Drosophila melanogaster: one gene and its partner. Changing the gene in region 1 together with any one later gene gives a genetic interaction. Each region holds a gene or a part of one and is shown in the gene's direction. Other genes may lie near its edges.

Region 1 (5,603 bases):
TCTCGTCCACGTGCGTAACTTTTTTTTATTAATATACATGTTATGTATCTTTCCAGCATGTGTTAAAGTTAAATAAAAATCGTAGGTTTTGTTTATGTCTGTTAATCGATGGAAAGAGGTGCTCCACGGGAGCTCAACGGGGTGCTCCCCGGGACAGCACGAAAGGGTGCTCCACGAGCCGGCTGATCACTGACTGATCACTTTTCACTTTTTTTGCGTGGCGTTGTTGTTGCTCCAAGCAAAAGATTTTCCAGATTAAGTTTCCGCCTGGGAAAAAACACACAAAAAAAATGTAGACCGCATACCGTTTTGCGGCGAGGAAAGCTCGCTAGATTATTATATCATTAACGCGCGCAGGCTATAATTTTCTAAAAAACAGTTGAATGAAAAAAATGTTCACGAATTGACTTTACGACGGTTCGATTAGAAAAGAAATAGAACGGAAACTCAAGCCTGGGTCTAGGCCATCAGAAGAAATCATGATCATCTGGAAATCACTCCATTTGTGATAACCAAGCTATCCAAAACTTTCCTAGTTCAGCTGATAAAGATTTGCATCTCGTCCAGTATATTTCCTATGACTAATACTGCATTTAATATGACCCTTGATTACACGCCCAAAGCTTGGCTCAAGCTTTCAGGGTGTTCTAACATAATAGCTTCAGGGGTCGCTACAAACTCCACCTATTAACTTTAATTAACCCTAATTAACAACTCTAATTCCTCTTCCAATTTGCACACCAATGTTTTCTCTAAGCATAGCTATTCTGTTTGAAATAACTTAGCTAAATGATCGTCGAAAGTGCATTTGCTTAATACATATACATACATTCATACACATACATTCTTTGTCAAATCAAAACACAACCAAAGAAAATTCGATTATTCATCCGTTCTTTATGACAAGCACCACTGCATACAACTGTTTTATAACAATCTCCTTTAATTGGTCCCGTTGTAATAAGAAATACCACATTCCGGGAAGCAGATTTTGCTTAAGTGCTTTTGCATCTTGATAAAAAGGATGGGGCGGGGATGAGAAAAAAGAAAGTAAGAAAACGAAATGGATTATCGGATTTCCTGCGATTTTTATTATAGGTAATATAATAATTTCATGAGCAGAAAGAAATCTTTAAAGGTATAATAATATATTTTACTTTAAGTTTAATCGTAAACTGAAAAGAACCTGACAACAAGACGATGGAAATTTCTCTCTTCAAAAATAAGTACGGATATAGTGATTAAAACACATTGAAAAAGTGATGAATTGAGCGGTGTTTAAGCGCCATTGATATCAACTAAATTGTAGAGTCGAATATGAATATGAATATATGATCCAGAAAATCCGTTTGAAAAATTTATATCTTACTTCCACTTTCTTGTTTTTAAGGATAAACGCCTTTCATATTACTATGTACATATTTTAATTTTAACAGTATTTGATAATACTGCTTTACTGTGGATGAACTTGATAAGGATCGAACCGCTGATAAGTCTAGTCTCAACTGTGTCGATTTATAGTTCCCCGATATCGAAACTCGTCATAAAGTGTAAATGTATTTTTTATAGCGCCAGAAACGTTATCTTGAACCTTATTTTTAAAGATTACCTTTTAGTCTTCGAGTTGTGTTTATAATCACGTTCGCGAGCACAAAAGTGTAGATAACGTCGACTTAATTTTCCGGTTACACTAAAGAAACCAATTGAAATGATCTGATATGTACCTTACATATACATAATCAGTGTCTAGCGTCTTCGGATCGGACGTTAAGGACGTTAAGAACTTCCTTTTTGCTTTTGGCTTTCAGATGCCTAATGATTTTTTTTTTTAAATTAAGAAATAGAATATAAACGAAAAGAGAATGCTATAGTCGAGTTCCCCGACTATCTCAGCTAGTGTGAATGCGAACCCGAAATTGCACGATTTATTTTTTTTATTGGGATATCGATAGATGTTGGGGAATAAAATGAGAAAAAACTTAAAATTTGACCGGTTCGGCAGCTTCAGGACGTTAGAGTGGGCGTATCAAAAATTTTTTTGGAAAATGGATACATGGGTCAACCTTCTATCATTTATAGTGCCAGAGATCTCGACGATCCTACTTATGGCACATTCTTTTCTGACTCCACTTAGCTGAGTGATGGGTATATGATATTTCTGATTGTAGAGGAACTAGACTCTTCTCTCTTATTTTGATAAGCGAACAACAGACGCAATTCCCAAGTCCTTTGAGAACCACTCAAGCGTCGCCACTCAAGAGAAAAATGCCCCCACTATCACTGTCTCGCTCTACCCAGAAACCAACTGAGAAGGCGACGCCGTCACCGCTGTTAGTTGAACTTCACGCGTCGCCGGGTGTGCCGGGAAGTAAGCAGTCGCTGACGATCGGAAATCTAAAACAATTACAGCGAGTAGGGCCGTGTACGATAAAAAGAGAACACCAGCTGATAGTGCACGACAGCGGAACATTATTGTAGTCTCTCAACTGAGTATTTCGTACATTCACATATTTTGTTTACATAGTCCATGCAATGCGCATATGGCTGGGAACTGGAAGATTTACAAAATACGATTGGATACGAACAAGTCATAATAATGATTTAAATTTTAATGTTCTGAAGAGTTTAAAATGAATATGTTTTTAATATCAGAATTTTACGCAATTAAGCCTAAATGAGACTAACGCCAATGGTTCAGTGTGATACGTGAGAGTGAATACAACGAATGGGCGCTCCGTTGTGATCTCTCTTTCCAACGGAACGTACATATGTACATTCATATGTATGTGCATAGTTATGTGCAGCATCAGCAGCTGAGTAGAAACATATGAGAGAAAGAGAGCCGCGGTCGAAATTATTACTCATTGCCAAAGTCAAACCTGCTGATAAGGTCAGTGCACGCTCAGCGCCGGCATTGTTTTCTTTACTTTGCTTTGACTTGCGGTTAAACTCTCTGGTTGGTGGAGGATCTAATTCTTATTGGTAGTTTTCTCGCAAAACGCTACGTCCCATAGCTACATATTTACAAATCAAATAGATTACAAACCACATCAATTTTAATACACGTATGCATGCTATTAGAAATTATATTATGTTATATATACATGTATATATGTATATAATATAATGGGTTAAATATGCCAAAAAAAAAGGTGCTCTAGAACACCTAGCCAAGAAAATGAAATACGAGCCCCAACTACTATTATTGTTTTGTATTGTGTTTCGAACAGCATGTGTTTTTTGCGGTGTGCAATGTTCAACACACGATATGTATACTCATTACTACTACAGATAACGTATGCAAAAGTATTTAGTCTGAAAGAGAATTTTATTCTCTTCATGTTGATAAAAAATGTTATATTTTCAACAACAACAACAGAGATAAGAAAAAAAGGCCACTATTAATTCGAACGCTGCAAAGTATAACAGACTAATTAACATAAGAATTGTGTAACGTCGCGTCCTGGGCTGTATTACACATTAAATACGTTTTGGCATTGATTTAAAAAAATTTTGGCCATGTTCTCGAGAAATCGATACCCACATCTCTTTGAGGTCACAAATGTTCCTCTGTGGTTCATTCGAAGCTTTCTTTTCATTAGCCACCAAATATTGTTTATGGGGCCTAGATCTGGACTATCTAGCCAATCTAAAACCTCCACTTGCTTATATTGTAGTCAATTTTCCTACTGAATCCTTTCCCGAGCCCATTGCAAACTCGTTTTTTTTTTTGCGAAGCGTAAGCAAGGGTTTTTCCGTGGCCTACAAGTAGAGTAAAAGGGTATACTAGATTCTTTGAAAAAGTATATATATTCTTGATATGGATCAATAGCCGAGTCGATCTGACCCTGCCCGTCTGTCCGTCCGTCCGTATGAACGTCGAGATCTTAGGAACTATAGAAGTTAAAGAGTTGAGATTAGGGATACAGTTTTCAGAGAGATAGTTTTTACTATCTACTAGTTACTATTATTATTATTACTATTATTACTATTATTACTACTATTTACTATAGTACTAGTTTTACAATACCAGTATTTCGACACTGTTTTAATTTGATATTCGAAACCATAATAACAGTCGCAAAATGTTTGGATTGTTAACAATTTTAGATTCTTTGCCTTAGCCGTTTGTTGGCTTTACATTTTTTGGGAAGACAAATGGTAGAATATACAAAATGAAAATACAAAATGTGATCGTGTCAGCTTAAGCGATAATGGTAAGGTTTTGAATCAAACTTACATACATAGCGATTTGATTACCCTGTAGCTTTTATAGTTCCCGATATCTCTCGATATTCATCTCTTGCCCTCCAACTAGACAGGAAAAGGGTATCTTATTGTCTATCAAAGATAATAACAAGCTCTTCTGGCGATTTGATTGGCAACAATATGCTTTCGGTCAAAACCTGCCGAGAAAACCCAACGCTGATAACCCAACGGCACACAAGCTAGTAGGACTACTTTTGCTGATAAGCATACATGAATCAAATGAAAAAGGTTTAAATTGCCAGTAGAGTTCCACCAACGTGCGATCCGTTGTTGATAAATGCATATCTACATTACTTAAGTTGTGGAGTGTAATAAATTTAATTGGTTAGTCCTTAAATTCTAACAAGAGAGAATGCTGTATTCGAGTTCCCCGACCATCCGATACCCTTTACTCAGCTAGTGGGATTGCGAATGCGAAATTATTCATAAATGAATAAAATAAAATGAGAATGAAATGAAAAAAATTAAAAATTGACAAGATAAACAATAAAACGAAGAAAAATCGACAAACTTGCGTCTGTATGCTTGATTTCAGCCGTCTAGCTTTTATAGTTTCTGAAATCAAGACGTTCATAGTATGACGTTCATACGGATAGACGGCCATGGCCAGATCCTATTCAAGAATATATATACTTTATGTGGTTGGAAACGCTTCCTTCTGCCTGTTCCATATTTTTCCACGTATCTAGTATACCCTTTTACATTACTAGTAACGGGTATAATAAACAACATTTTGTTTAGCTATCATTATACGTACATTGTATAGAATAATCAATTTACCTTATAAGAGTTCCTTAAGAGTTAACTTAAAATGAAAACGTTTCTAATCTGCAATAAACTACCACTGTATTATTTAAAATTTTTGTAAAATCCACGTTTAGGCAATCCACGTTTAAGCAGGGTTTAACATATGGGACCATATAATCTTCTATGTAATTTCTTGCACGCTTAGCTTGAAGTTTACATAAAGGGGCTTACATAAATAGGATGCTGGAAGTGATCATGAATTCCTCTCCCTGAAAATTATTTTTTAAATGCTGCCCTTGTTACACATTTCCCTAGACATAAGGAAAACAAGAGAGAATGCTATAGTCGAGTTCCCCGACTATCAGATACCCGTTATCATTTTTTTTATTTACGTTATCAATATTAAAATGTTTATAACTAATTTCCAAAAGAGATACCATTGTTGGCCTCGGGAGTTTTGACCGACTTGCTCTTAGTTGCCATAATGTTTTCGATTTCGTCTGGCTTTCATATTTCTACTTTACCTACAATAATCAATATTTATGAATTTTATTTAAAGATCTTCTTCGAGTTTCTTACCCTGAAGA
Region 2 (8,283 bases), on another chromosome or scaffold:
CTGATTGAAAACTCAATTTGATTGGCGCTGATTACGTTTTTGATTCAATGCGTGCTCTTAATTTAAATAAAAACCCAAAAAACTAAAGAAATTAAATTGTGATTAAATTCTTCTTGCTAGCGTCGACCAGTGTTGCCTAATGCTTAAAATGCAATTATAAGAGCGACTCTAGTGCAAGAAACGAGTAATCGATTCTGGTTCGATAGGCAACGACTTCGATAAGGCGCAAATTAAACTAGTTGTAAAGGTTTTACGCTATATGTTGTATGCAAGAAAATCAACATAATTTAGCTATAAATATAGGCTACACTTATTTTTAATTATAAGTCCAAATTTCTTAGTGCATAGGAGTGGAATAACTAATTTTATATCAGTTTTTGGAATGCCCCTAACATGTCCGTGGTATTATTATTTAGTAACGTCAGGGTCACACTTTTGTTTTGTTTTGCTTTGCAACTTGACTTTTAAAATTGCAATTGCAGCATGGCCGAAGAACCCGAGGAACCCGCCAAGGTATGGATTACATAAATCTATTGGACATCAGGTGCCTGATTAAGCTTTAACTATGTTTAATCTCCCATAGAGCTTCGTTATCTTCGGACGCGATGTGGCGCAGATCCCGTGCTTTCGTAACAGTTTTCTCTACGGAATCAGCGGAGGAATCGGCATCGGCTTGCTGACTTTTCTGGGCACCTCGCGAACCCACCTGTCCACCCACGTGGGCTTCGGCTCCTTCTTCTGCGGCACCATCGCCTACTGGATGACCTGCAGGTAAGTGACTGTGATTAAAACCGTGCGGCGCCCTTATCACTTAATTATCAATGTGGCATCCGCAGGTATCAATGGTCCGTCAGGAGATTCGAGCAGCAGCAATTGCGTGAGGCGATGAGACGACAAGCCCTTTATGAGGGCACCCAAAGGGAGAGAGACTTAGATCTGAAGTCGGCGTAGCATAAGTCAGATCCTTCATTACTACTTCGATGTTTGTTTTCACTCTAGGATACCAAGTAATCCTGGCATTGTTAAATCCCTTGTGTTGTAAACTACCTTTTGTTACCAAACTTTATAGTAGCCAATATATTATATATATGTTGTAAGTGAAATCTTAGCTTGCCACTCGTAGGGAATTAATTATGCCACCATCTTTGATTTGGGATTGACAGAAATCAATCCATCATTTTAATGATTGTGGTTCCTAAAACCTGTTGGGCTTTATTGTGCTTTCGATTTGATTTAAGCTGATAGAGCTAGTTGTTTACTTTTGAAGAACCTTGAACCCATTTTGACGACCTTTTAACTTTTTAATAGTTTTTTTTTACCATTTACATAAAAGCAAAATTTACAGTCTAAAAGTTGTATATTCAATACGTTCTGGTACGTAAAAGGGTTATTTAATGCACCATTTTTACAACTTTAGATAGTATACTTTTTACTTGAGTGGGAGCCATATCACAAAAATGAAATGAAAGGTTAAAAAAGTATCTAAAAGTAAGTTTCAATTAATATTCTGAAAAATAATTGCATTTCATGTACGTTTCTCTGAAATACCCCTAATTCGATACTATTTATAAATCTGGAAGATATATAGCTAGGAAATAGATTTATATATTTGCCTAGTTTGAACACCTTGTGAACATTTTGTTTAAAAAAAAAGCGTATCGTGGTACTAGAAAACTTTAAGATACAGATAAATAACTTCACTATACCGAGGTTTTGGTGTTTCTTGAGACTGAAGGACAATCTTCAAAATGGTCTTAATTCTTGAGATAGAAAAGCTGCAGTTCTCATGCTGAATAGTGATCAGTACGATTTTATCTGACAGATTGCTTTCCTAGCTGACCACACCGATCTCGGATGGGTATCTGCTCTAATCCGAGATAGCAGGTAGTAGAACTGCTGCCTCGTAACCCCTAGACATGGCCATTTCCACGCACATGTAGGCGATCCTGCACTCGTCGGTCGCTCGTCTTATCTCACAAAAATAAAAGTCGGCGTTTGGATGGATTGCTCGGCTGGCTGTTGGCACATTCATTACGTTTTCGTTGACGGCGCGAGACGGTTGTGTTGTTTTTTAATCGGCGGGCACATGAGGTTGTCGGTTCTCTAATTTTGAAATAAAAAACTTGTTTTCGCTTTACATTCAAGGAACGCACCTCCTCCCCTCCATATATGTAAACGAGCTTCGTAATTGCAGGCTAACACTTATATAGGCATTGGTACTGAGATACAGCGAGATACCGTGAGCTACAGATACATAGCACTTCACGATGTCTAACTCGGTTTTGGTGTTTTTCGTGAATGGAAAGAAGGTACTTAAAGATACTCGGATGCCTTGCGTGTCTTTCCTTAAAGTCGGCCCACTCCTACTATATCGATTCCCTTTATTGTTTTATTGCCCTAATTGCGTTTAACTGGCATTCGATGGAATTTGCCTTCTTGCTCAATTGAATGTGTCGAATGTATATAGTATTTGCTGTGCATATAGTGATAACAATTGACCCCCATGTGAAGCCTCGTTGTTTGCTGGTGGCCCCTTATCGCCCGATCAAGATGGTGCACTTGCCAATCGCGCATGGGAGCAGTGCTACTCGGATGTGGGTGAGCTGGGATCGTCATGGGCATTTGTGTCTGCCAGATAGCCAGGCCCTCTAATCCGCACATTCCCACCGGCTGTGCGGTGTTTACAATCCAGTGAGCTCGGCTGGATTATTCAGATAAAGCTGGCCATATTTAGCATCTGGTGTTGGTGGAGTGCAGTTGGAGTTCTTTACTTTGTGCTCACAGCTTGCGCACAAGTGAAGTAAATAATAATAAATAACCAGTTGCTCGTGCGCCCGGCATTTGATAGTGATAGATAGCAATCTCTGTTTGCTCAGGGCTGGCAGAGCAGATAACACTTTCGCTGTTTTAAGTTTAAACAAAGTCACAGTTTTGACAAACAATTGCTTTAAACCATATAAACTTATAATTATAGCAATTATAATTAAGTAGGTACAGATCTTAAAGCTACAAGATACAAGATACAAATTTTCCCATTAATGGATAAATGGCATTAGATACTTTTGGGAAATTGATTTCGTTTTTTTCATTTTATTATATTTATACATTTCTTATTCCAGGTGACCGAAGTGTCGCCTGATCCGGAGTGCACGCTCCTCACATTCCTGCGCGAAAAGCTGCGGCTGTGCGGAACGAAGTTGGGATGTGCGGAAGGCGGATGCGGCGCCTGCACCGTGATGGTGTCCCGCCTAGACCGTCGGGCCAACAAGATACGTCACCTGGCGGTCAACGCCTGCCTGACGCCAGTGTGCTCGATGCACGGATGTGCGGTGACCACTGTGGAGGGTATAGGGAGCACCAAAACGCGTCTGCATCCGGTGCAGGAGCGACTGGCCAAGGCGCACGGATCCCAGTGCGGCTTCTGCACGCCGGGCATTGTGATGTCCATGTACGCACTTCTGCGGAACGCGGAGCAACCCTCTATGCGAGACTTGGAGGTGGCATTCCAAGGTAACCTGTGCCGCTGCACCGGCTATCGACCCATTCTCGAGGGCTACAAGACGTTCACCAAGGAGTTTGCCTGCGGAATGGGCGAGAAGTGCTGCAAAGTTAGTGGGAAAGGATGCGGAACCGATGCGGAGACCGATGACAAGCTCTTCGAGCGCAGCGAATTCCAGCCCTTGGATCCCAGCCAGGAACCCATCTTCCCACCGGAACTTCAGCTGAGTGACGCCTTCGATTCTCAGAGTTTGATCTTTAGTTCGGATAGGGTGACCTGGTATCGTCCCACCAATCTGGAGGAGCTGCTTCAGCTGAAGGCCAAACATCCGGCTGCCAAGCTGGTCGTGGGCAATACGGAAGTGGGCGTTGAGGTTAAGTTCAAGCACTTCCTCTACCCGCACCTCATTAATCCCACCCAGGTGAAGGAGCTGCTGGAGATCAAAGAGAACCAGGATGGCATTTACTTCGGTGCGGCTGTCAGTTTGATGGAGATCGATGCGCTTCTGCGGCAGAGAATCGAGCAGCTGCCGGAATCGGAGACCAGATTGTTCCAGTGCACCGTGGATATGCTTCACTACTTTGCCGGCAAGCAGATCCGCAACGTCGCCTGTTTGGGTGGAAACATCATGACCGGTAGTCCCATTTCCGATATGAATCCTGTGCTCTCGGCAGCAGGAGCTCAACTGGAGGTGGCCAGTTTTGTGGATGGAAAGCTCCAAAAGAGATCAGTTCACATGGGAACTGGGTTCTTCACTGGCTATCGCAGGAATGTTATCGAAGCCCACGAGGTGCTGCTGGGCATCCACTTTCGGAAGACCACTCCGGACCAGTATATCGTTGCTTTTAAGCAGGCCAGGAGAAGGGATGATGACATAGCCATCGTAAATGCCGCAATAAACGTTCGCTTTGAGGAAAAATCCAACATTGTGGCGGAGATCTCGATGGCTTTTGGTGGAATGGCACCAACCACAGTGCTCGCTCCTCGAACTTCCCAACTGATGGTTGGGCAGGAGTGGAGCCACCAGCTCGTGGAGCGCGTGGCGGAGAGCTTGTGCACGGAGCTGCCTTTGGCTGCCTCCGCTCCGGGTGGCATGATCGCCTATCGTCGAGCTCTGGTGGTGAGCCTGTTCTTCAAGGCCTATCTGGCCATTTCCCTGAAGCTGAGCAAGTCAGGGATCACATCTTCCGATGCTCTGCCATCGGAGGAGCGAAGTGGTGCCGAGACATTCCACACACCAGTACTCAAAAGTGCCCAGCTCTTCGAGCGCGTCTGCAGCGATCAACCCATCTGTGATCCCATTGGGAGACCAAAAGTTCATGCGGCTGCTTTGAAACAGGCCACTGGTGAAGCTATCTACACAGATGACATTCCCCGCATGGATGGTGAAGTTTATCTGGCCTTTGTCCTTAGTACCAAGCCACGTGCCAAGATCACCAAGCTGGATGCCAGTGAAGCTCTGGCCCTGGACGGAGTGCATCAGTTCTTTTGCTACAAGGACTTAACGGAGCACGAGAACGAAGTGGGACCCGTCTTTCATGATGAGCACGTCTTTGCTGCTGGAGAAGTGCATTGCTATGGTCAGATAGTGGGCGCCATAGCTGCCGATAATAAGGCGTTGGCCCAAAGAGCCGCTCGGCTAGTGAAAGTGGAGTACGAGGAGCTGAGCCCGGTTATCGTGACCATAGAGCAGGCCATCGAGCACAAGTCCTATTTCCCGGACTACCCTCGATTCGTGACCAAGGGCAATGTGGAGGAGGCTTTAGCCCAGGCGGATCACACTTTCGAGGGCACCTGTCGAATGGGCGGACAGGAGCACTTCTATCTGGAGACCCATGCTGCATTGGCGGTACCTCGTGACAGCGATGAGCTGGAACTCTTTTGCTCCACGCAGCATCCCTCGGAGGTGCAGAAGCTAGTGGCCCATGTAACCGCACTTCCTGCCCACCGTGTCGTCTGTCGTGCCAAGCGTTTGGGAGGCGGTTTCGGCGGCAAGGAGTCCAGAGGCATCTCCGTGGCCCTACCCGTTGCCCTGGCCGCCTATCGAATGGGTCGTCCTGTGCGCTGTATGTTGGATCGCGATGAGGACATGCTTATCACCGGCACCAGGCATCCCTTCCTCTTCAAATACAAAGTGGGCTTCACCAAGGAGGGTCTGATCACTGCCTGCGACATTGAGTGCTACAACAATGCCGGTTGGTCCATGGATCTGTCATTTTCGGTAAGAGTGGTGGGTTTATGGAAAATCCATATGTAGGTTTCTTTATGCATACCATGTTTGCTCAAATATCCATGTGTTGTATTTTCCATTGAACATCTGGTTAGTGTGGGAATTTCTAGGACCCCTATATGTTATCATCCTGAGTGCAAATAGTTTGAAACTTTTAAGAATGTTTAGGTCTAATCAGGAAAGCAAGCACCAGGATTATATTGACATAAACAATTATAAATAATAATCTAAAAATTCTTAAAAATGATCTAATATATAAATCCTATGTTTAGGTTCTTGAGCGCGCCATGTTCCACTTTGAGAATTGCTACAGGATTCCCAACGTTCGCGTGGGTGGATGGGTCTGCAAGACGAACCTGCCCTCGAATACGGCCTTCCGTGGATTTGGAGGACCACAAGGCATGTACGCCGGTGAGCATATCATCCGGGATGTGGCCCGGATAGTGGGTCGCGATGTGGTGGATGTGATGCGGCTGAACTTCTACAAGACTGGAGACTACACACACTACCACCAGCAGCTGGAGCACTTCCCCATCGAGCGGTGTCTGGAGGATTGCTTGAAGCAGTCGAGATACGACGAGAAGCGGCAGGAGATTGCTCGATTCAATCGGGAGAATCGCTGGCGGAAACGCGGCATGGCGGTGGTGCCTACCAAGTATGGAATCGCATTTGGAGTGATGCACTTGAACCAAGCGGGATCGCTGATCAACATCTATGGTGATGGATCCGTGTTGCTTTCGCACGGAGGAGTTGAGATCGGACAAGGTCTGAATACCAAGATGATTCAGTGCGCCGCCAGGGCTCTGGGGATTCCTTCGGAACTGATTCACATTTCGGAAACGGCCACGGATAAAGTACCCAACACTTCACCCACGGCGGCGAGTGTGGGATCCGATTTGAACGGAATGGCCGTACTGGATGCGTGTGAAAAGTTGAACAAAAGACTGGCGCCCATCAAGGAGGCATTGCCTGGAGGCACCTGGAAGGAGTGGATCAACAAGGCGTATTTCGATCGGGTCAGCCTCTCGGCCACAGGATTCTATGCCATGCCCGGGATTGGATATCACCCGGAAACGAATCCCAATGCCCGCACCTATAGCTACTACACGAATGGCGTGGGAGTCACTGTGGTAGAGATCGATTGCCTGACTGGCGACCATCAGGTGCTCAGCACAGACATCGTAATGGACATCGGTTCCAGCCTGAATCCGGCTATTGACATTGGTCAGATCGAGGGAGCATTCATGCAGGGCTATGGACTGTTCACTTTGGAGGAACTCATGTACTCACCACAAGGCATGCTTTACTCCAGAGGTCCGGGCATGTATAAGCTGCCAGGATTTGCCGACATTCCCGGGGAGTTCAATGTCAGCCTACTGACCGGTGCCCCCAATCCACGGGCAGTCTACTCTTCCAAGGCAGTGGGTGAACCTCCGCTCTTCATTGGATCATCTGCATTCTTTGCCATTAAGGAGGCCATTGCAGCTGCTCGCGAGGATCAGGGCTTGAGTGGTGACTTCCCACTGGAGGCGCCTTCCACATCGGCACGCATTCGAATTGCTTGTCAGGATAAGTTCACGGAACTGGTAAGTTACCCTTGGATTAGTTTATAACATTAAACTAACTTTTATTATTAATTTATTAATTATAGCTTGAAATACCCGAACCAGGATCATTTACGCCATGGAACATTGTGCCTTAAAATTGTTTTTATTGTTTGTACTGCTTAAGCATTTAAAATGACGATTTTATTTGTTAATTTGTTTATATATACATAGTGAATTAAATGTTTTAAAAATAATTGAGTCGTTTAATGTGTAAACTAAGCTGGAGAGCTGTTTGAACAAATTTATATACCACTGATTAATATTAAATATTCCTTTTAGATTAAGAAAAATTCAATGGTTACTTTTTTGTTCTATCTATTATTCAATAGAATCTCGTGGCATGCAATGCATTCTGATTTTCAATTGAAAAGTCTTAGTCACTATTTATTTTGAGTATATTAATGAAAGTTGAGCAAGTTTTCCGATGAATTGAAATATGAGTTCCGATTTCGGCGCGACTGCTAACCGAAAATATAAGCTCAATCAAAAGAAGCTTTGTATGGAACTCAGGTTATGAGACGAGATCTTCGCGAGCATCTCAGTCGGCAATCTGACGTCGTAGAGCTCGGACATCCGAGATGGGAAAGCTATCATTTGGATACAGATTGATTTTAGAGTTCGTCTTAATTTCGACGTTAGCGTTCGTATCGGCAGAACAATTGTTGCTATCACTACAACCATTATTACAATAGATATGCACAGAATGCGCCTTGGAACGCAGTGGCTCCATCGTATCTATCGATTGACATATACGGAAATTGCCAAGCCCACGATCGTCCGCTGATTGGTAAGTGTGTGCGGTACGTGGATTGCATTAGTGCCATGCAGGCAGTGCCCCGGGTGACACCACTACTCTGTCCGTCATCGTGGCCCAATCAGTTGGTTTGCTGTCCACACGGCGGATACTTGTTGCCGCCGCCCAGCATCTCGAAGAGCGAACAAGGTGC

The links. A genetic interaction does not mean that the proteins touch.
Region 2: of ZnT41F (region 1) and ry, changing one suppresses a phenotype caused by changing the other (phenotypic suppression), as found in Drosophila melanogaster (one study listed by BioGRID).

What each region holds. Positions count from the first base shown.
Region 1 is NT_033778.4:5,779,586-5,785,188, reverse strand, and holds the start of ZnT41F (zinc transporter 41F), read left to right. Parts: upstream 1-2,330; 5' UTR 2,331-2,412; exon of another isoform or gene 2,413-2,890; intron 2,891-5,603.
Region 2 is NT_033777.3:13,030,499-13,038,781, forward strand, and holds ry (rosy), read left to right. Parts: upstream 1-2,029; 5' UTR 2,030-2,267; coding exon 2,268-2,309; intron 2,310-3,119; coding exon 3,120-5,720; intron 5,721-6,001; coding exon 6,002-7,315; intron 7,316-7,380; coding exon 7,381-7,431; 3' UTR 7,432-7,522; downstream 7,523-8,283. Other genes in the region: l(3)87Df (lethal (3) 87Df), read left to right, coding at 484-513, 584-771, 837-951; CG11668 (uncharacterized protein), read left to right, coding at 7,915-7,976, 8,029-8,279.